2 linked regions of the Macaca mulatta genome follow. The protein of the gene in region 2 purifies or fractionates together with the protein of the main gene of each other region. This does not show direct contact. Links are inferred from orthologs where the notes say so. Each region holds a gene or a part of one and is shown on either strand. Other genes may lie near its edges.

What was found. Proteins that work in one complex are often made in the same cells at the same time.
Region 1: the proteins of EXOC6 (region 2) and EXOC8 purify together in Homo sapiens (affinity purification with mass spectrometry; 4 studies listed by BioGRID and IntAct, counting the BioPlex papers as one, with this or other methods). This does not show direct contact. The link is inferred for Macaca mulatta from reciprocal best matches to the Homo sapiens genes EXOC6 and EXOC8.

The regions. Positions count from the first base shown.
Region 1 is NC_133406.1:17,692,938-17,703,094, forward strand, and holds EXOC8 (exocyst complex component 8), read left to right. Parts: upstream 1-3,774; 5' UTR 3,775-3,864; coding exon 3,865-6,042; 3' UTR 6,043-6,371; downstream 6,372-10,157. Other genes in the region: DNA-dependent metalloprotease SPRTN, read right to left, coding at 1,734-1,833, 3,000-3,220. UniProt on the Homo sapiens protein: Component of the exocyst complex involved in the docking of exocytic vesicles with fusion sites on the plasma membrane.
Region 2 is NC_133414.1:104,903,680-104,913,736, reverse strand, and holds part of EXOC6 (exocyst complex component 6), read right to left. Parts: intron 8,049-10,057; coding exon 7,937-8,048; intron 7,105-7,936; coding exon 6,970-7,104; intron 1-6,969. UniProt on the Homo sapiens protein: Component of the exocyst complex involved in the docking of exocytic vesicles with fusion sites on the plasma membrane.

The sequences.
Region 1 (10,157 bases), on a different chromosome or scaffold from region 2:
TTGTTTTATTATTATAAAATATCCCACTTTTCCTCTAGTAAAACTTCTTCCCTTGAAGTCTTCAGTCTGATACTAATACTGGTTGAACATCCCTAATTTGACAATCCAACATCTGAAATGCTCCAAAATCCAAAACTTTTTGAGCACTTACAAGATGCTTAAAGGCTATGTTCTAAGGAAATGCACACTAAAGCCATTTCAGATTTGGGACTTTTGGATTAGGAAAGCTCAACCAGTAAGTATTGTGCAAACATTCCAAATTAAAAAAAAAAAATCTGAAATCTGAAACACTTCTGGTCCCAAACACTTTGGATAATGAGTACTCAACCTTATAGCCACAATAGTTTTCTGCTGATAAGTGTTTGGATGATTACTTTTCCTCATCCTTTTAATATAAGTGTGTCTTTACTGTAAGCATGCCATTCCATGTATTTAATGGAGTGTTTAGTCCACTGACATTTAATTATTGATACTTTGTTTACACCTACCTTTCTCTTTGTATCATCTGAGCTTTGTTCTTTTTCATTCATCAAGTATTTCTACTGTACCATTTTACATTTAGTAGCTATTTTTTAAACAAATTGTGGTAAAAAAAAATTAACAAAATTCCCCATCGTACCCATTTTTATGTGTACAGTTCGGTGTTGAGTATATTCACATTGTCATGTAATCCACTGCCTTTTATTATCCTTAAAAACAGCATCTCTCATCTCCAAGCATGTTTTAATATGTTTCCCACCCCATGCTGAGAAACTACCACCCTGCTCTTTTGTACAGATTTTTTGTTTTTTTGGGTTTTTTTGAGACGGAATTTCGCTCTTATTGCCCAGGCTGGAGTGCAATCGCGCAGTCTCAGCTCACTGCAACCACCACCTCCTGGGTTCAAGAGATCCTCCTGCCTCAGCTCCCACTGCTCCATTCTGCTAGCAGAAGTACCAGCTCTAAATGTGAAGCGTGCACGCACACTGGTTTCTGCTGCCAGCTCGGCTAGGTGTCCTGAGCACACAGCAGTGTGGCAGCCCAACTGAGGAGAATGAAAATTTGTGTTTCTCAACAGGAAGATGTGGATCCTGTTTTCTCTGCTTCTAAATACATAACTTAAGCCAGTTACTTCACCTTTCTGAACCTTAATTTCTTTACTCATAAAAATGAAAATAGCAACACATGAACATCAACAGGGCTGTTGTACAATCAAAGCAGATAATATACCTAGAAGCCTTTTTTTTTTTTTTTTTTTAAGATGGAGTCTGGCTCTGTAGCCCAGGCTGGAGTGCAGTGGTGCAATCTCGGCTCACTGCAAGCTCCGCCTCCCAGGTTCACACCATTCTCCTGCCTCAGCCTCCCGAGTAGCTGAGACTACAGGCGCCCGCCACCACGCTCGGCTTTTTTTTTTTTTTTTTTTTTTTTTTTTTTTTAGTAGAGACGGGGTTTCACCGTGTTGGTCAGGATGTTCTCGATCTTCCGACCTCGTGATCCACCCGCATCGGCCTCCCAAAGTGCTGGGATTACAAGCGTGAGCCACCGCACCCGGCCTCTAGAAGCCTTTTTTTTTCCCACTATGAAGCACTATAAAAAACATAAGGTGTTCATTATTATTTGCCCCATAATTCAAGTTTGCACTGAGGGCAAAGAGACTTTTTAAAAGATACATACAGGTGAATTCACAGCAGTCTAAATCAATGACAAGCATTTGTAAATTACTGAGCTAGGAAGCAAGTTTACATGAAAAATACCTCTACAAGATCCTTTCTTGGTCTCAACTTTAAAAGGGGTTCGCTGAGACGGATGGAACACATTCCACCCTTCCCTTCATAGCTGCATATCCCAGCACACCTAGAAAACAATCACCATAAAAATGTGTTACATTGACCAAATACGCCCAAGTCCTTACACATTCTTGGGCAGTGCACACTAAGAGAACTCATTTGGCAGATGGCTTTCTTGAGAGTATACCCCCTTGGTTAGCAGATACTTGCATTTCACCCAATTAATTAGTTACAGCCCCCGGGGGCGCCTCCCGCGATGGCTCCCCGGCCAGGCGAGGAAGGAAAGCAGCGCCCTCTCACCACCCTGCTTGAGAAGGTGGAAGGCTGCAGGCACCTGATAGAGACGCCAGGACAGTACCTGGTGTACAACGGGGACCTAGTGGAATACGATGCGGACCACATGGCCCAACTGCAGCTTCCCTTGCCCTAGCTAGGCTGCAACAGCTCGAAGGCAATCCCATTCTGCTACTCCCAGTCTCCTTACGACAAATCACAGTTTGGTGTTATTAACAAGCAGGTATCTCCAATAGTGTATCTCCAAAATGATAACAGACGCCTGTATAAAGGAGATTGGTACTTTAAACACAATTTAATATGATATCTTAATTTGTTTGTAGGTTGTTTTCTGTCAACTCAAAAACAAGCATGCTGGTGGTATACAACTGTATCTTAAACTTCACCCTATTCACGTGCAGGAGTAGATTATTATTTCAAATAAGGATTTCTCAAATTTAGCATGTAGAAAAAGAATCGTTTTAAAAGCATCACTGAAGATCCCCACTGCAACACACGAGCTCACTAAAGTGGGTTCCTAACGGGAAAGAGAGGAGGGGAACGCACATCCTTTGGAGGTTACTCTGCGTCCTCAGCACTTTCTTAGGGGCAGATTTGGTTGCTTTTCCCTTCAGGGTCCTACAGCACTATCATAAGGCAAATCAGGAACTTGTTATTTTCAAGTTTAGTGAGATTCAAACACAAATCTCTTTTCTCGTTAGGGCCCTGAGTCCAACCGTGGCGGTGGGGTCTACACAGCTTTCTTATTTTTCGAGTGGGAGAAAAGGTAAGAAAAAGAGAAATACGCCAAGGCAGGAATTGCCAGGTCCAAAACCAGACTCCCCCCTCATTTAATGCCCCCTGGGACCGTCGGACCAGAGAAAGGAGAGAAGACCAGGACCGGGGGCTGCAGGAGAACTGCCAGTCCCGCCTCTTTCCCCAGCGGGGCTCGGAACTCACAGGGTCATTCGCACGCTCCACTTCACCTCGACGGCCTCCAGCTGGCCCCAGAAGAACTGGTCGTTAAACTGAACAAACAGGGCCTGCAAGTCCGGTGTGGGGTCCACCAACTCCCACGACGCGTCCACTAGCGACAGGGACTCCTGGGCCTGATCGCGCTCCGCCTCCTGCAAGTTCCACTCCTCCTGAAGCCGCAGGGCCAACATCAGGTCATCGTCCATCGTTGCCAGGATCACAGGCGGGATCCGCCGGTGTCAGGCTGGCTCCGAGTTAGGCTGCGACCCCAAGCCGCCTAGCGGAGGACCAGGACTAGCTCCTAGGAGATACCGGCTCTCGAGACGGCCAGTCAATCCCGCGAGAGTTCGCGGAAACTCGCTTGAGAAAGAGAACGTGAACGAGAACGGCGCTTACCCCAAACGCCGAAGCCAAGATTCTAGGGCTTTAAAACAAGCAGTCAGCACGACACCTCCTAGTGGGCGCAGAACCTGGGCTCACAGGGCACCGGCCCTACGAAGCTTTCAGGAAGCTAGTTCCAGCCTTTACTCTTTGCCGGTTATTTCAAACCTCAACGTCACGCTCGGTTCATGCGCAGTACTCAAATTGCTCTCGGCCTCTCCACTCACTTCCGCACTAGCTCCTCCGGCGCATGCGCCTTAACTGATGGCATTCCTGCGCAGGCGCAATGTCTGCGCCTGGCCCCTTGCGCAGGCGCAGTGTCTGACGCTCAGACCCGGCGCAGGCGCACTCGTCTTGTTCCAATTCCTGCTTCCTCAGCCCAGGAGCTCGGTGGGTCTTGGGTGGGTGTAGACAGCCGCGGCGGCTGCGGCGCCGATAGTGACAGTGAGTGCGTGAGACCCGGACGGAAATGGCGATGGCGATGTCGGACAGTGGGGCGAGCCGCCTGCGTCGGCAGCTGGAGTCAGGGGGTTTTGAGGCGCGGCTGTACGTGAAGCAGCTCTCGCAGCAGTCGGATGGGGACCGGGACCTCCAGGAGCACCGGCAGCGCATCCAGGCGCTGGCGGAGGAGACGGCGCAGAACCTGAAGCGCAACGTCTACCAGAACTACCGGCAGTTCATAGAGACGGCCCGTGAGATCTCCTACCTGGAGAGCGAGATGTACCAGCTCAGCCACCTGCTGACGGAGCAGAAGAGCAGCCTGGAGAGCATCCCGCTTACGTTGCTGCCTGCCGCAGCTGCCGCCGGAGCCGCTGCCGCGTCTGGCGGGGAGGAGGGAGTCGGTGGGGCGGGGGGCCGAGACCACCTCCGAGGCCAGGCCGGTTTTTTCTCCACCCCCGGTGGCGCCTCCCGCGACGGCTCCGGTCCAGGCGAGGAAGGAAAGCAGCGCACTCTCACCACCCTGCTTGAGAAGGTGGAAGGCTGCAGGCATTTGCTGGAGACGCCGGGACAGTACCTGGTGTACAACGGGGACCTAGTGGAATACGATGCCGACCACATGGCCCAACTGCAGCGGGTGCACGGCTTTCTCATGAACGATTGTTTGTTGGTGGCTACCTGGCTGCCGCAGCGGCGGGGGATGTATCGCTACAACGCTCTCTATTCCCTAGATGGTTTGGCCGTAGTCAATGTCAAGGACAACCCGCCCATGAAGGACATGTTCAAGCTGCTTATGTTCCCCGAGAGCCGTATTTTCCAGGCCGAAAATGCTAAAATAAAACGAGAGTGGCTGGAAGTGCTGGAGGAGACCAAGAGAGCCCTCAGTGAGAAAAGGCGAAGGGAGCAGGAGGAGGCAGCGGCCCCTCGAGGGCCACCCCAAGTGACTTCCAAGGCCACTAACCCATTTGAGGATGACGAAGAAGAAGAGCCAGCTGTTCCTGAGGTAGAGGAAGAGAACGTGGACCTCTCCATGGAATGGATCCAGGAGTTACCTGAAGACCTGGATGTCTGCATTGCGCAGAGGGACTTTGAAGGGGCTGTTGACCTGCTGGATAAATTGAACCATTACCTGGAAGATAAGCCTAGCCCACCTCCTGTAAAAGAACTAAGGGCCAAAGTGGAGGAGCGAGTTCGACAGCTCACTGAGGTGCTGGTTTTCGAACTCTCCCCAGATCGTTCCCTGAGAGGTGGTCCCAAGGCTACTCGCAGAGCAGTTTCGCAACTGATCCGGCTGGGCCAGTGCACGAAGGCCTGTGAGCTATTTTTGAGAAACAGGGCAGCCGCTGTTCATACAGCAATTCGTCAGCTTCGCATTGAAGGCGCCACTTTACTCTATATTCATAAGCTGTGCCATGTCTTCTTTACCAGCCTTCTTGAGACTGCAAGAGAATTTGAGATTGATTTTGCAGGCACTGACAGCGGCTGCTACTCCGCCTTTGTGGTCTGGGCAAGATCAGCCATGGGCATGTTCGTGGATGCTTTCAGCAAGCAGGTGTTTGATAGTAAGGAGAGCCTCTCAACAGCAGCTGAGTGTGTAAAAGTGGCTAAGGAGCATTGCCAGCAACTGGGTGATATCGGACTGGACCTCACCTTCATCATCCATGCCCTTCTGGTGAAAGACATCCAAGGGGCCTTGCACAGTTACAAAGAAATCATCATTGAAGCCACTAAACATCGCAACTCTGAAGAGATGTGGAGAAGGATGAACTTGATGACGCCAGAAGCCCTGGGGAAGCTCAAAGAAGAGATGAAAAGCTGTGGGGTAAGTAACTTTGAGCAGTACACAGGGCATGACTGCTGGGTGAACCTAAGTTACACAGTGGTTGCTTTCACCAAACAGACCATGGGCTTCTTGGAAGAGGCTCTGAAGCTGTATTTCCCAGAGCTGCACATGGTACTTTTGGAGAGCCTGGTGGAAATCATTTTGGTTGCTGTTCAGCATGTGGATTATAGTCTTCGATGTGAGCAGGATCCAGAGAAGAAAGCTTTTATCAGACAGAATGCATCCTTCTTATATGAAACAGTCCTCCCTGTGGTGGAGAAAAGGTTTGAAGAAGGTGTGGGGAAACCTGCCAAGCAACTCCAAGATCTGAGGAATGCATCTAGACTTATTCGTGTGAATCCTGAAAGTACAACATCAGTGGTCTAATGCTTGGGTCTGTTTATATGTATGTATATATATAGAGAGAGCGCTTATATATTATTTATATTTATATTAAGTTGTATTAGCATACTCTTTATAGTTTCAAACACAACTTGAAAATTAAAAGTGCCCTCTTAGAATACAAAAATCAAAAAGAGGAAAAGAAGTTAAATTAAGCCCAAATAACAAAAATACTGGAATTATTAAAACATATAGTATGCTAGCTATCCTTTTAAATTATGCTGATTCTCTTCTGAAATTATGGTCACACTATACACTATAGCATTTCAGTTTCATCCTTTGATAAAACACTTTTTGGTTTTTTTTTTTTTTTTTTGAGACAGGGTCTCACCCTGTTGCCCAGGCTGGAGTACAGTGGCAACGTCACAACTAACTGCAGCCTTGACCTCCCAGGCCCAGGCAATCCTCTCACCTCAGCCTCCCATGTAGCTGGAACCACAGGCTGGCACCACCATACCCAGCTAATTTTTGTATTTTTTGTAGAGATGGGGTTTTACCATGTTGCCCAGGCTAGTGTTTTCTTTCTTCTTTTTTTTTTCCGCACAGTATATATTATACAGCAGAGTAATAATATCTATAAACATAGAGTTTATGTTGTGAAAATTTTCCCAGTTCACTAAAAGGTTTCCTAAAGGGTACAGTGCAGTATAAAACACCCTGCCTCATTTATTTCTCCTCAAAACGTTGGACTATTTGGGAAAAAGAAAAGCGTTGGGAAAATTGGTTTTAGGGTAAGTTTTAGTCAAAAGAGTTCTTTCTTGAAACTAGCTGGTGTGTGGATTCAGATACTCTGATCCTTACAGAATCCAAGAGGAAGCTTTCATAAAAACAATTCAGCAACTATTTCTAATATTATTTGAATGGCTAATTTTCAGTTGCTAATTAGCAGCTTTGTAATACTTGATTCAGGAGCGTTTACTTGGAAATCCTAAGGACTGTAATAAAATTTTTCAACATATTTCTAAATTGCGTGAGTTTCCAACTGTAGCTTTTGCCTTTGTCACATTTTAAAAAATAATAATAGGCAGGACACATTGGGGACTCTGGCAGCAGTTGCCAGGTTTTAGCTGCCACTGCTTCAGTTTGAGATACAGCTGTCCCATCCTCCCCCATTCAGGGTAGGATATATAGTGGCCTAGATGTCATGCAAATGGAAAAAAAGTTTTAACTGAAATATTTATTTAGATTTCAGGGTCTAGATGGATGGGAAATTAGAAAAACATATGCAAATCTCAGTGTTCTCACTATGACTACTCTGAGCAGAGATTCGGTTTTGTTTCTTTTTGTACCAAAGTGAAAACAGGTGAGACAATGTGCCCAAAACAAAGGGAAGATGAGAACCTTCTGTGACTTCTAAAATGTTCCATGCTGCATTTTTCTTGTTTCATTTTTTTAAACATGAATATAATGCTTCAAATTGTTTAGTAAAACAAAATCAGAAATGTGAGCTTCCCAAGGTTTCTAAACTATCGCTTCTATTGTATGTTCTATAACATTCCTTATACTTTGAGAGAAACTATGCTTGCTGTGATCCATTTTGTCTCTAGCTTCTAGTTGTGATTCTTGTCCATAAGCACCAAATTTGATGCCCATGATTTCAAAAGGTCATTTCTTTTATCTAAATGAAAATGGTGGTACTAAGACTGTGAAAATTATGTGAAACCTAAAATAGTTGCCAAAATGGCTCAGGGTTGTAAAATTCATTGACTTAATTATTCATGTGCCAGATCAACCCCTTTATTTTCGCTTTAGCTATGCATATTTAAAATATTGGAAAGTATCAGATTTACAGATTTTCTTTTGACTACGTTTTTTCACATAACTTTAGGATTTTCGAAAGTTATAACCATAACTGGATATCTTAGCTGAGCAAAGGCAGTTATAATTTGTCTTTTTAAGATCACTGGAAATTGTTAAAATTTTGTGGTAATTATGATTATTCTGTGCCATTTACAGTTTCTAATACTATACTGTATGAAATATGTATAAATATATGATGCTGGGTCTGTGAAATGATACTTCTGAAATCAAAATTCCTCATAAGGCATGAAGTTGTAAAAACTTAAATGTGTATAGTTAGATATTTAAATGGTTGCTTCTTCATAGAATTGTCTGCTTTTTGAAACTGGAAGTACAGGATTTTCTTCAGGTAAAATCTGTGTGTTCCAATTACAGTTGTAGCTGAAGGAAGTATGCTTTTGGTAAGTCAATTAGTGTGGTAAGTTGACAAAAGACCCCCAGTGTTGTACCCAGACAGAACAATTATGTTACATTCCTCTAAGTGGAGTGGGCTTTCTTCTCTAATTATTTTGTTTTATTAAACTCAAAGACAAGTTCTAAAAATTGAATGCAATGAGAGATTGTCCAGAAATATAACATATACTAAAATATACCACTTAAGCATTGATTGACTCTTCTTGTTTACTTCAAGAATATAAAACTTGTCACTTGAGCTTGGAATCATGGGCTTGACTGAATTAATTACTCTTGGGAAAAAAGGCACCTTGTGGCATTAAGTCTCGTTTTGATTAAAGCCTCATTTCACATAATTGCTAAAAACTCACTTTTGTTTAATATACTACCTATAGTTTAATTATCAGCACTTGTATTTTGTAACTTGATATCTTACCTAGGATTGGGAATTTGGGACATGACATGTACTATAAAAGTCAGTCTATGTACATATTGCTTATTGATGTGCTGTGATATGAGGGAATCTGAAATGTTTCATAAAAATAAAGCTTAAACATTGTCTTACACTGGATAAAAGTGATATTATAATATTATATCTATTGCTCTTCTTTAGTATTCAATATTTTTATATTCTTGTTACTGAAATATTCTTTGAAGACCTTAGTTTTTTGTTTTATTTATGTGGGGAGGATAGTTAGGAAGCAGTTTGCTAAATTAAGTAAGTGTTCTGCTTACCATCAGAATTGTGAATAAATCAGATCTCAATTTTTTAAGATTTCCTTGAATGGAAAATTTCAGAGGTACAAAATGTGAATTTATTCTAAAAAAGTAGATTTTGGCCGGGCGCGGTGGCTCAAGCCTGTAATCCCAGCACTATGGGAGGCCGAGACGGGCGGATCACGAGGTCAGGAGATCGAGACCATCCTGGCTAACACGGTGAAACCCCGTCTCTATTAAGAAATACAAAAAACTAGCCGGGCGAGGTGGCGGGCGCCTGTAGTCCCAGCTACTCGGGAGGCTGAGGCCGGAGAATGGCGTGAACCCGGGAGGCGGAGCTTGCAGTGAGCTGAGATCCGGCCACTGCACTCCAGCCTGGGCGACAGAGCGAGACTCCGTCTCAAAAAAAAAAAAAAAAAAAAAAAAAAAAAAAAAAAAAATAAAAAAATAAAAAAAATAAAAAAGTAGATTTTATACCATCTGCACATTTCTAAATAAATAAAATAAAATGTAGGCCACAAGACCTAGAAACTAAATGACAAGGCTCAGCATTTTTTTTTCTTTTTTTTTTTTTTTGAGACAGAGTCTTCCCATGTCGCCCAAGCTGGAGTGCAGTGGCACGATCTCTGCTCACTATGTCGGCCTCCGGGGTTCAAGCCATTCTCCTGTCTCAGCCTCCTGAGTAGCTGAGATTACAGGTGCCCGTCACCATTCCCGGCTAATTTTTGTATTTTTAGTAGAAATGGGGTTTCACCATGTTGGCCAGGCTGGTCTCGAACTCCTGACCTCAGGTGACCCACCGGCCTCGGCCTCCCAAAGTGCTGAGATTACAGGCGTGAGCCACCATGCCTGGCCAGGCTCGCCCTTTTGAAAGTAATATGTATATACTGAGGAAATTATCTCATATTTAAAAGTATCGAATGCTATGCTTCATATTGACTGTAATGTGGGAGTGCAGAAGACAAAATAATTTTAAACATACTTTGTCCTCTTAAGATGCTTAGAAATTGGAAAAAGTCGACAAATGTAAGTGAGAGAAAAATGCACAGCTGTGTACAGTGGGAATACCAAGAAGGAAGAGAGCAGTGTACTTTTAAGGAGTTCAGAAAGTTCTCATGGAATTGTTGGCATTTGAGCTGGTCCTTGAAGAATGGACAAGATTAAATGTGCAAAGAAAAAGGAAGAGGAGG
Region 2 (10,057 bases):
ATTATATATACATTTTTGCTCAATAAACATCATTTAACATACACCCCCAAGTGAAAAATGACACTCAGTTTAGACAGAACCATCTAAGGAATGACTGCTTTATTTACAGGACTATCTTTTGGGACACAATTAAAGCCTTACTTTAGACAAGGCAAAATATTTCATTTCTTGTTCTTTATCAAAGTAGCCTAGCGTAGAATAACCTAAATCTCTCATAGAGCCACCTGCTAATTACCTCACTTGTAGAAGGATATATGGGTTTTGAGCTATACTCAGTGTCTGGAATAATTCAAAATCCAGTCTTTGGATTATGAGATTGTCACAGGTCACTATAAACTAAATACTTCTCTAATTCTCCAATTACCTAAGTTATCTTCTTTTCCTTTTTAAAAAGTGGGTGCTACATGTTTACCTTTCTATTTTTCAGGGGCTTTTGTACCTCAAAAGTGTTCACAAATAATGACTAATGGCCTTGTGGTAGCATCTGCCACTCCTTAAGTGGTTGTTTGTCATCAGGTTTGCAAATCATCTGATATAAATAGCTTTTTAAAGTAGTCCTCAACCATTTCTCTCCATACTCTATTTCTGCTTTCCATGATCTTTGTAAGTGGCATTTGCTATAATTAACTGATTACTGATGATATTTTAAAAAAACCAGAAAGCTGAGCACTCTTATCTATGAGGATTGAGGTCTCTACATTTTGTTGATCCTCCTCTTTTGTTTACAGAACTGAAAAAATGTTTTTATTTTTCCTGTTACCTTTCATGTTTTTGGCAAAGTAGCATGTCCCTTATTTACTTTTCTATTCTATTTACGAAGGAATCTAATTACTCATTCTATTCCATATATATTTGTTATTCAATCTGCTTTTGCTTTTGGTTGTTTTCTAACTTACATTTTAGGATTTTATATCATTCAAATGTATTAAATCAGCTGTAAGCATAAAACTGCTTTATACGGTCCTCTGTAATGGGGGAAGACCAGAAAAGAAGAAGTTGGTGGTAAAGGATGACAAAAGAAATAAATGTCATATACACTGCCTTTTTAAAATGGCAATCAAATTGCATACACAATACAAGGAATTTTACAAAGGAACACTCCATCAATAAAAAAGCATATAAGTAATCAGAAGCTGACATGCAATTAATCAGTCAAGGCGTAATTTTGCAAGTGCCTTCACAAAGCAATAAATCAACTTTACATGTATAAAACAGTATAACATTTTAATTAAAATGAAAAATTTTTAAACTGCCAATAATACCTCATTAGTTCTAAATGTTTATGCCAGTTTCTGAATTTGTATATTCACAACTAAAAATTAAATAAACGTAAATTATCTTTTACTCATACGGTAATATCTCAGAAAGAGGTCACGTATCCAGTCAATAACCAGTAAGAAAGCAAAAGAAAGGTTTCTAAATAGCCAAAAGTGATACAGTTCACACACAAATAAATAAGGTGTAGTAAATTCTATCGTGGAATACCATATTGAATTCAAAATAAATAAACTACAGCTACATACAACACCACAAATGAAATACCCCAAGTCATGCTGAGTAAAAGAAGTCAGATACACAAAAAGAAGCACTCTGTGTGATTTCATTTAAATAGAACTCAGAAACAGGCAAAACTACTCTGTGCCGTTAAAAGTCAGTACTGAGAGGAAAAGAGATAGTGACAAAGGAGAGGAATGAGGAAGGCTTCTACAGTGCTAGTAATGCTTTATTTCTTCATCTCATAGTTACAAGTGTGTTCACCTTTCTTTCGCAATTTAAACAGACTATTTTTTAGAGTAGTTTTAGGTTAACAGCAAAACTGAACAGAAACTACAGAGATTTACTACATACCCCACAAATTCCAAAGTCCACAGTGTACACTGGATTCACTCATAGTGTTTTACATTCTATGGGTTTTGATGCATGTATACACAATTATATACTTCTAGAGCAATAGTTTCACTGCCCTAAACATCCTCTGAGCTTCACTTATTTACCCCTCCACCACTCCCTCACCCCTGGCTACCATTAATTTTTTTATTGTCTCCATAGCTTTCTCTTTTCCAGAATGTCACATAGTTGCAATCATACAATATGTAGCCTTTTCAGATTGGCTCCTTTCACTTAATAATATGCATTTAAGTTTCATCCATATCAACGGCTAGATAGCTCATTTCCTTTTAGTACTTAATAATATTCCATTGTCCAGATATACCAGGGTTTATTTATACATTCACCTACTGAAGGACATTTTGGTTGCTTCCAAGTTTGGGCAATTATGAATAAAGCTGCTATAAACATCCATGTATAAGTTTTTGGGTAAACCTAAGTTTTCAACTCCTTGGAATAAATACCAAGAAGCACAATTGCTGCATCATATGGTAAGACTGTGTTTCACTTTATAAGAAGCTGCCAAACGGTCTTCCAAGGAGGCTGTAGCATTTTGCATTCCCACCAGCAATGAGTAAGAGCTTCTGTTGCTCCACATCTTTGTCAGCTTTTGATGCTGTCATTGTTCTGAATTTTGGCCACTCTAATAGGTGTGTAGTGCTATCTCATTGTTGTATTAATTTGCATTTCCCTTATGATATATATATGGAACATCATTTCATATGCTTATCTGCATCTCTATCTTCTTTGCTGAGGTATATGTTAAGATCTTTGGCCCATTTTAAAATCAATAGTTCATTTTCTTCTTGTTGAGTTTTAAGAGTTATTTGCATATTTCAGACAAGAGTCCTTTACCAGATAAGTCTTTTGCAAATATTTTCTCCCAATTTTGTGGCTTGTCTTCTCATTCTGTTGACACGGTCTTTCATAGAATAGAAGTCTAAATTTTTAATGAAGTTCAGTTTATCAATGATTTCTATCATGGATTGTTCCTTTGGGGAACAATCAAGACTAAAAAGTCATTGCCCCACCCAAGGTCATCTAGATTTTCTCCTATGTTATCTTCTAGGGGTTTTATCAATTTGCATTTTACATATAGATCTGTGAAACATTTTGAGTCAGTTTTTGTGAAGGGTATAAGGTCTGGTCTAGATTCATTTTTCTGCATGTGGATGTCCAGTTGTTCCAGCACTATTTGCTGAAAAAACTATCTTTGCTACATTTTATTACCTTTGCTCCTTTGTCAAAATTCAGTTGACTATATTTATGTGGGTCTATTTCTGGGGTCTTTAATCTGTTCCATTAATCTATTTGTCTGTTGTTTGTCCAATACCACATCTTATTTATTACTACAACTTTGTTTTGTTTTGTTTTGTTTTTGAGACGGAGTTTCACTCTGTCGCCAGGCTGGAGTGCAGTGGTACGATCTCGGCTCACTGCAACGTCTGCCTCCCAGGTTCAAGCGATTCTCCTGCGTCGGCCTCCCGAGTAGCTGGGATTACATGTGCACACCACCACACCCAGCTAATTTTTGTATTTTTAGTAGAGACAGGGTTACACCATGTTGGCCAGGATGGTCTTGATCTCTTGACCTCATGATCTGCCCACCTCGGCCTCCCAAAGTGCTGGGATTACAGGTGTTAGCCACGGCACCCAGCCTCATTACTACAGCTGTATAGAAAGTCTTGAAGATGGGTAGTATCAGTCCTCCAACTTTGTTCTTCTTCAATACTCTGTTGGTTCTTCTGGGTCTTCTGTCTCCATATAAAGTTAAAGATCACTTTGTCAACATCCACAGAAAAACTTGCTGGGATATTAACAGGGAATATATTAAATCTGTAGATCAAGTTGGGGAGAACTGACATGTACCATGTCCTTGCTCCATAGGAAGAGAATTTCAAGCCCTTAAAGACAATTTACTACTGTCACTTCAGCCACAATCCTGAAAAGCTTCGCTACATAGTTATTAGCAGACAAAAAGAAAAAAAAAAAAAGCAAGTTAGAAAAAGAATCAGAAGTGCATTTCTTCTAGGCATTGACAGTTGCAATTACTGCCAGGACTCAAAAGAAAAGTCTTCAGAGTAGCAGGCTGGAAGAGCTCCTTGGAGTCAAGTTAAAGATCCCTGACGCCAAAGAGAAACAACTGGACTATTTCTCTACCACACAAGTTAGAAAGGGGATGGTATTTCCGTTTTTTTCATCTATATTGATGCAAATTTTTCCAGTTAAGAGAAGTCTTATATTAGCTTTAAGTAGCTCTCTATTTGGGTCTGAGTTACTTTCAAAAAGCTGAGGTACTGCTTGAGGGTAGGAACTACTTAATGAACTTCTTTTATGTCACTTACAGAGTTAGCAAACAAGTTAACAAAACTGTCTATACACTATTTCATAACCTAAATATATATGACACAAGATCAGGCAGTTTGTGTGTGCATACGTAGTTTTTGGAAGGGAAGCAAATGGAGGTATAGGTATCATTAAGTGCTTGTTTCCAGAATCATTAAGCAATCAAATAGAAATATGTTTTCTAGGGTCACTGAACTGAAAAAAAAATCAGGCTAATAGGCTAAATAATCCAATCAAATGTCTACAGTCAAGACTGTACTTCAATCGTTTCTGTGAAAGAGGCAACAGACTATTCACTGTGAATGGAAATTCCCCAGTGTCCCTCAGTAATTCACTTTAATATTGATTTAACAATCCTCCCTGTTGAAGTACTTCCCCTTATCACATTTTGAGACAAATTCCTCTTGAAACAGACCAAAAGATAGAACTGAAAAATACTTGACCTTCAAATATTAAGATGAAAACAGCTCTTGCTCACATATTAGAAAACAGAAAAGCATTTACTGAGTTCTGTGTGAAAACAAAACGAACAAATAAACAACAAAAAACAAAGATGCTTCGCTATTTACAGAGCAGAACTTGATTTCCAAGGAAATCCACCAAGGAGTATGCAATGACAGTTGTGGTTTCAACTCTGGAATGATGAACCAGAGCTAACATTTCTAAACATTCTTTCCCAACAGGCAGATTTTGAGAAATACAGTTCCAAGATCCCCTAATCTAAGAGCATTGTGTTCCAGTATCTTTGGTTCTTTGGCTTATAATCGATAAGAAAATTACTCTAAGATCCCTAGAAACACAAGATGCTAAAGTAATTCATGTTTTAATCAGAGAGTACTGGGTAAGCATATTAAATGTAATGTTAACAGTTAAATATGCCTACAATTCTAAGCCTGAGAAATCCCTTCTTGACAGAGTATGAGTAACACATGGATGTAAGGACAGAAAGAACAATGAAGAGAAAGTAGAGGCATTATGTAAAATCTAACATAAAAGCTAAGAATCAATTTGTCCTTGGATAAGTAAGTGACTAAAAACTTGTGGCGTCTCCTCCTATATTATCACACTTACCATACCACATTGTTAAGTGTCTTTTATTTTTTTCCTCCTCTGAGCTTCTTGAGGGCAGGGATACATTTTTGTATTCTCAGAGTCTAAACAGAGTGCTCAGAGCATGATTTATATACAGTGAATGGTTCTGTGCTAAGTGTCTTCTTTACTCCTCATAATGATCACATGAAGTAAGTACTGTACTGTTACTCTAATTTTATAGATAAAGAAACTTGGAATCACATTAAAGAACTTGCCCAAGACCACAGAGCAATCTAACTTCAGAGTATATGAATTTAATCACTGTACTATATTATCTGAATAAATGAATGCCTGCTTTTTTAGGCTTCTAAGTTTTAATAACTAATTTTGTTAAGTCTGCTGATTCAGGTATCATTCTGCATTTGTGTCTTATGTATTGAAATGACTACTTAGCTCAAGAGGCACCAGAGGAGCATAATATTTGGGGGCCAAGCAGATAATTCTAGCATTCCAGGGTTGTTTGTGGACTTCACACTTTCAAAGTATGGTTAAATGTTAACATTAAATTAGTTATTTTTAAACACAAGAACATTCATTTTTTTGTTTTGTTTTTTTTTTTGAGATGGAGTCTTGCTTTGTTGTCCAGGCTGGAGTGCAGTGGCGTGATGTCCGCTCAACGCAAGTTCCACCTCCCGGGTTCATGCCATTCTCCTGCCTCAGCCTCCCGAGTAGCTGGGACTACAGGCACCTGCCACCACGCCCAGCTAATTTTTTGTATTTTTAGTAGAGACGGGCTTTCACCGTGTTAGCCAGGATGGTCTCAATCTCCTGCCCTTGTGATCCGCCAGCCTCGGCCTCCCAAAGTGCTGGGATTACAGGCGTGAGCCACCATGCCCAGCCAGTACATTCATTTTTTAAAATGCAAGTTATTACAACAAAATCTTGGGGGTGATTGATAATATAACAAAAGTAGTTAAAGAGAATTCTTTTTAACAGGAAACTTTTAGAAAGAGCTATAAGGTTGAATTAGCAAGCCCATTTTGCAGATAAGTGATCAGTACATGGTTTATCATTAGTTTAACAAAATATTCAATGCAAGGGGATTTATATACACTAGACTAAGCTAGTGTCTCATCTATGACTCCAAATCAATAAAATAATAAAATAGCTTATGAAATTATTTAATCTTACATTCTACCTAAAACAACCGTTAATTAATCCTCAGTATATCCTGTATATTATTAAAACAGAAATCTTCCCATCCACAAAACAGGCAGGACTTCAATGACATGTAATAATACTTGCTTTTCTTCAGATCAGAACCAGTCAAGGATGGAAAACAAATCTATCCTTATTTAATTTGTCTTACATTTAAAATTTTCAAACATAAACACTCATATAGAATTAATTTTTAAACTGTGAAATATTAATTCAGTTAGACCTATTCAGCACTACTATAAATCATCAAAACATGAACAAAGCGTAATACATTGTAGAAAATAAGTATACTTTTCTCCATGTTAATAAGATGTTTACGGTGCCAAAAAAAACCTTACATTTATCTGCTCATTGTTGACAATGATTACCTCTATTCTTAATTTTTAGGAATATAGTAGATCTTGCATATAATAAGAACAGTCTTTAATTTCTTAACGTTTGTTTACAGTGACTGAAATGAAAACTTTTGGTCAAATTTTTACATACCTTAAAAGTAGAAAGTCCATAAAGTCTTGTAGTATGAACAGTTTCTTGAGAAATATTTGTAATGTTAGTTATAAAGTCCTCAAGATATTTACAAGCTTGTTCCAGGTGTGTTGTGTTTATGATGATTTGCACCAGCTAGAAAACACAAGATATATCCAGTAAAATACAGGTTACATGTATGTAAAATCACCTAATTTTTAAAAATAGGATTATTACTTCCAGCAACTGTACCATATCTACATAACTACAGCATTATAGGATACAACTATCTGATTTTAAAAGCCTGCTGCAAATACTGCTTATGAATTTTTATATATATATATATACACACACACACATATCAAGAATCTAACTGCCAGTTATTTTAAAATAACTTTTCATAGTATGTTTCAAATCTTAAACATTTAGCAAGTAAAAAATTAGGATTTTGGCTTTTCCTGTAGTCTGGCAATCAGAAATCTAAACAGATGTTCTAACATCTTTATCTACTATTCCCCATATGAACCCTTTTCCCTCACTTTTTTTTTTCTTCCAGAGACAGGGTCTTGCTGTCACCCAGGCTGTGTACTGCAGTGGTATGAGTGTCACTTACTGCAGCCTCAACTTCCTGAGCTCAAGTCCAGAGTAGCTAGGAATACAGTTGCACAATACCACGCCTGGCTAATATTCTTCATTTTTTGTAGAGACAGGGTCTCACTATATTTCCCAGGCTGGTCTCAAACTCCTGACCTCAAGCAATCCTTCTGCCTTGGCCTCCCAAAGCTCTCAAATTAGAGGTGTGAGCCACTGTGCCTGGCATCCTCACATTTCTGGAATTTACACTGGTTATTTTCATTTTGAAAACAAATCTGCTTACATTAATACATTTAAAACAGGAAGCTAGTTTTACAAAATGATGTTCAGCAATAATTTAAAATAATTGTTTCATACAATGAAACACTTCACTATATGTGTCTTTTTAACCTACCTCTGTCAAACCTATATGAGGTTTTCTAATAAGGTTCAGTAAACAGCTACTCAAAGTTCTGGTCAGCAGCAGATTTGTTGATTTTCTAAGCATATCGTCTATTTCTGTTGAGCTAAACAGAAAGACTGATATTATTAAACTTTTTACAAACTTTAATAAAAAATAATGAATATGGTTAGTTAACATCCTAAATAATTTAACACAATTTACTAAAATAATTTTCCCCAAGTCATTAATTTATATCCTTAAATAAACTACAATGACCCATATTTATTAAATCGCAAACTTCAATTTAACTTTGCAAAAGGGACATTTTCCATAAAGTAGAATATTCATATATGGCATAATTTAAATGTATCCAATTAACAACTACAGAAAAATCATGGAGGACTTGGTATAAGGAAATAAAACTATTCCTAAATTCCAACTCCATCATGGGATAGTAACTTTGCCGTTTTATTATTTTTATTATTGTTTTTGAGCCAGGGTCTCACTTTGTCACCCAGGCTGGAGTGCAGTGGTGCAATTATAGCTCACTGTAGCCTCAAAGTCCTGGACTCAAGCGATTCTCATACTTCAACATTCTGAGTAGCTGGGCCTACAGGTGCATGCCACCACGCCCAGCTAGTTTCGAATATTTTATAGAGACAGGGTTGCGCTATGTTGCCCAGGCTGGTCTTGAACTCCTGGACTCAAGTAATTCTCCCACCTTGGACTTCCAAAGTGCTGGGATTACAGACGTGAGCCACCGCGCCCAGCCCCAAAAGACAGGCACTTTGAAAGAAACTTCCTACACAACTACAGCTAAAAATTATTTTTAAAATACAAACTGACATGAGCTCTTTCTAGATATAATTAACAAATTTAATTTTTAATATAACTAAGTTATACATTTTCATCAAGATTTTTTAAGTCGTCAAAGAAATAAATTACCTTAAACTAATTTTAATATGATGTTTCTTAACATCCTAAGTATTACTAAGCTAGCACTAAAAAACAAATTCTTTTCTCCTAACCATTAGGCCTTCAATTTAAGTAAATAATGATTCCTTGGATACAGCCTCATTATCACAACAGTTAAACTGTCCTTAGACCACGGACTATCCATCTCGGCACTATTGACATTTTACGGTGGATAATACTTTGTTGTGGAGACTGCCTTGCACATATGGATGTTTGGCAGCACCCCTGGCCTCTATCCACTAGTTCCAAGTAGCGCCTCTCCCCCGAACTGTAACAACCAAACATGTTTCTAGACATTGCCAAATTTGTGGGGAGGAGGTGGTGGCAGGAGAACCAAAATTATCCCCAGTTGAGAACTACTGCCTTAGATATAAGCTAACATTTTTGTATCCTTTTACTTTTTATTAAAATACTACTTTTAAAACTCTGTGGGCCAGGCACAGTAGATTGTGCCTGTCATCTCAGCACTTTGAGAGGCTGAGGTGGGTGAATTGCTTGAGGCCAGAAGTTCGAAACCAGCCTGACCAACATGGCAAAACCTCGTCTCCACTAAAAATACAAAAATTGGCCAGGTGTAGTGGCGTTAACCTGTGGTTCCAGCTACTTGGAAGGCTGAGGTGGGAGGATCACTTGAGCCCAGGAGGTCGAGGCTGCAATGGGCCATAATTGTGCCACTTCATTCCAGCCTGGGCAACAGAGTGAGATCCTGTCTCAAAACAAAACAAAACAAAAACAAAAACAAACAAAAAGAACTACCATTCAACCCAGCAATCCCATTATTGGGGATATATGCAAAGGAAAATAAATCATTTTACCAAAAAGACACATGTACCCATATGTTCACTATAGCACTATTCACAATAGCAAAGACATAGGTGTCTATGGCAGCACCCCTGGCCTCTACCCACTAGTTCCAAGTAGCGCCTCTCCATTGATAGCAATGTTGGATTGGATAAAGAAAATGTGGTATATAAACCCCATGGAACACTACACAGCCATAAAAAAGAACAAAATCATGTCCTTTGCAGCAACATGAATGCAGCTGGAGGCTAATAGCCTAAGCAAACTAATGCAGAAACAGAAAACCAAATACTGCATGTTTTCACTTATAAGTGGGAGCTAAACACTAGATACACATGCATGTAAAAATGGAAACAA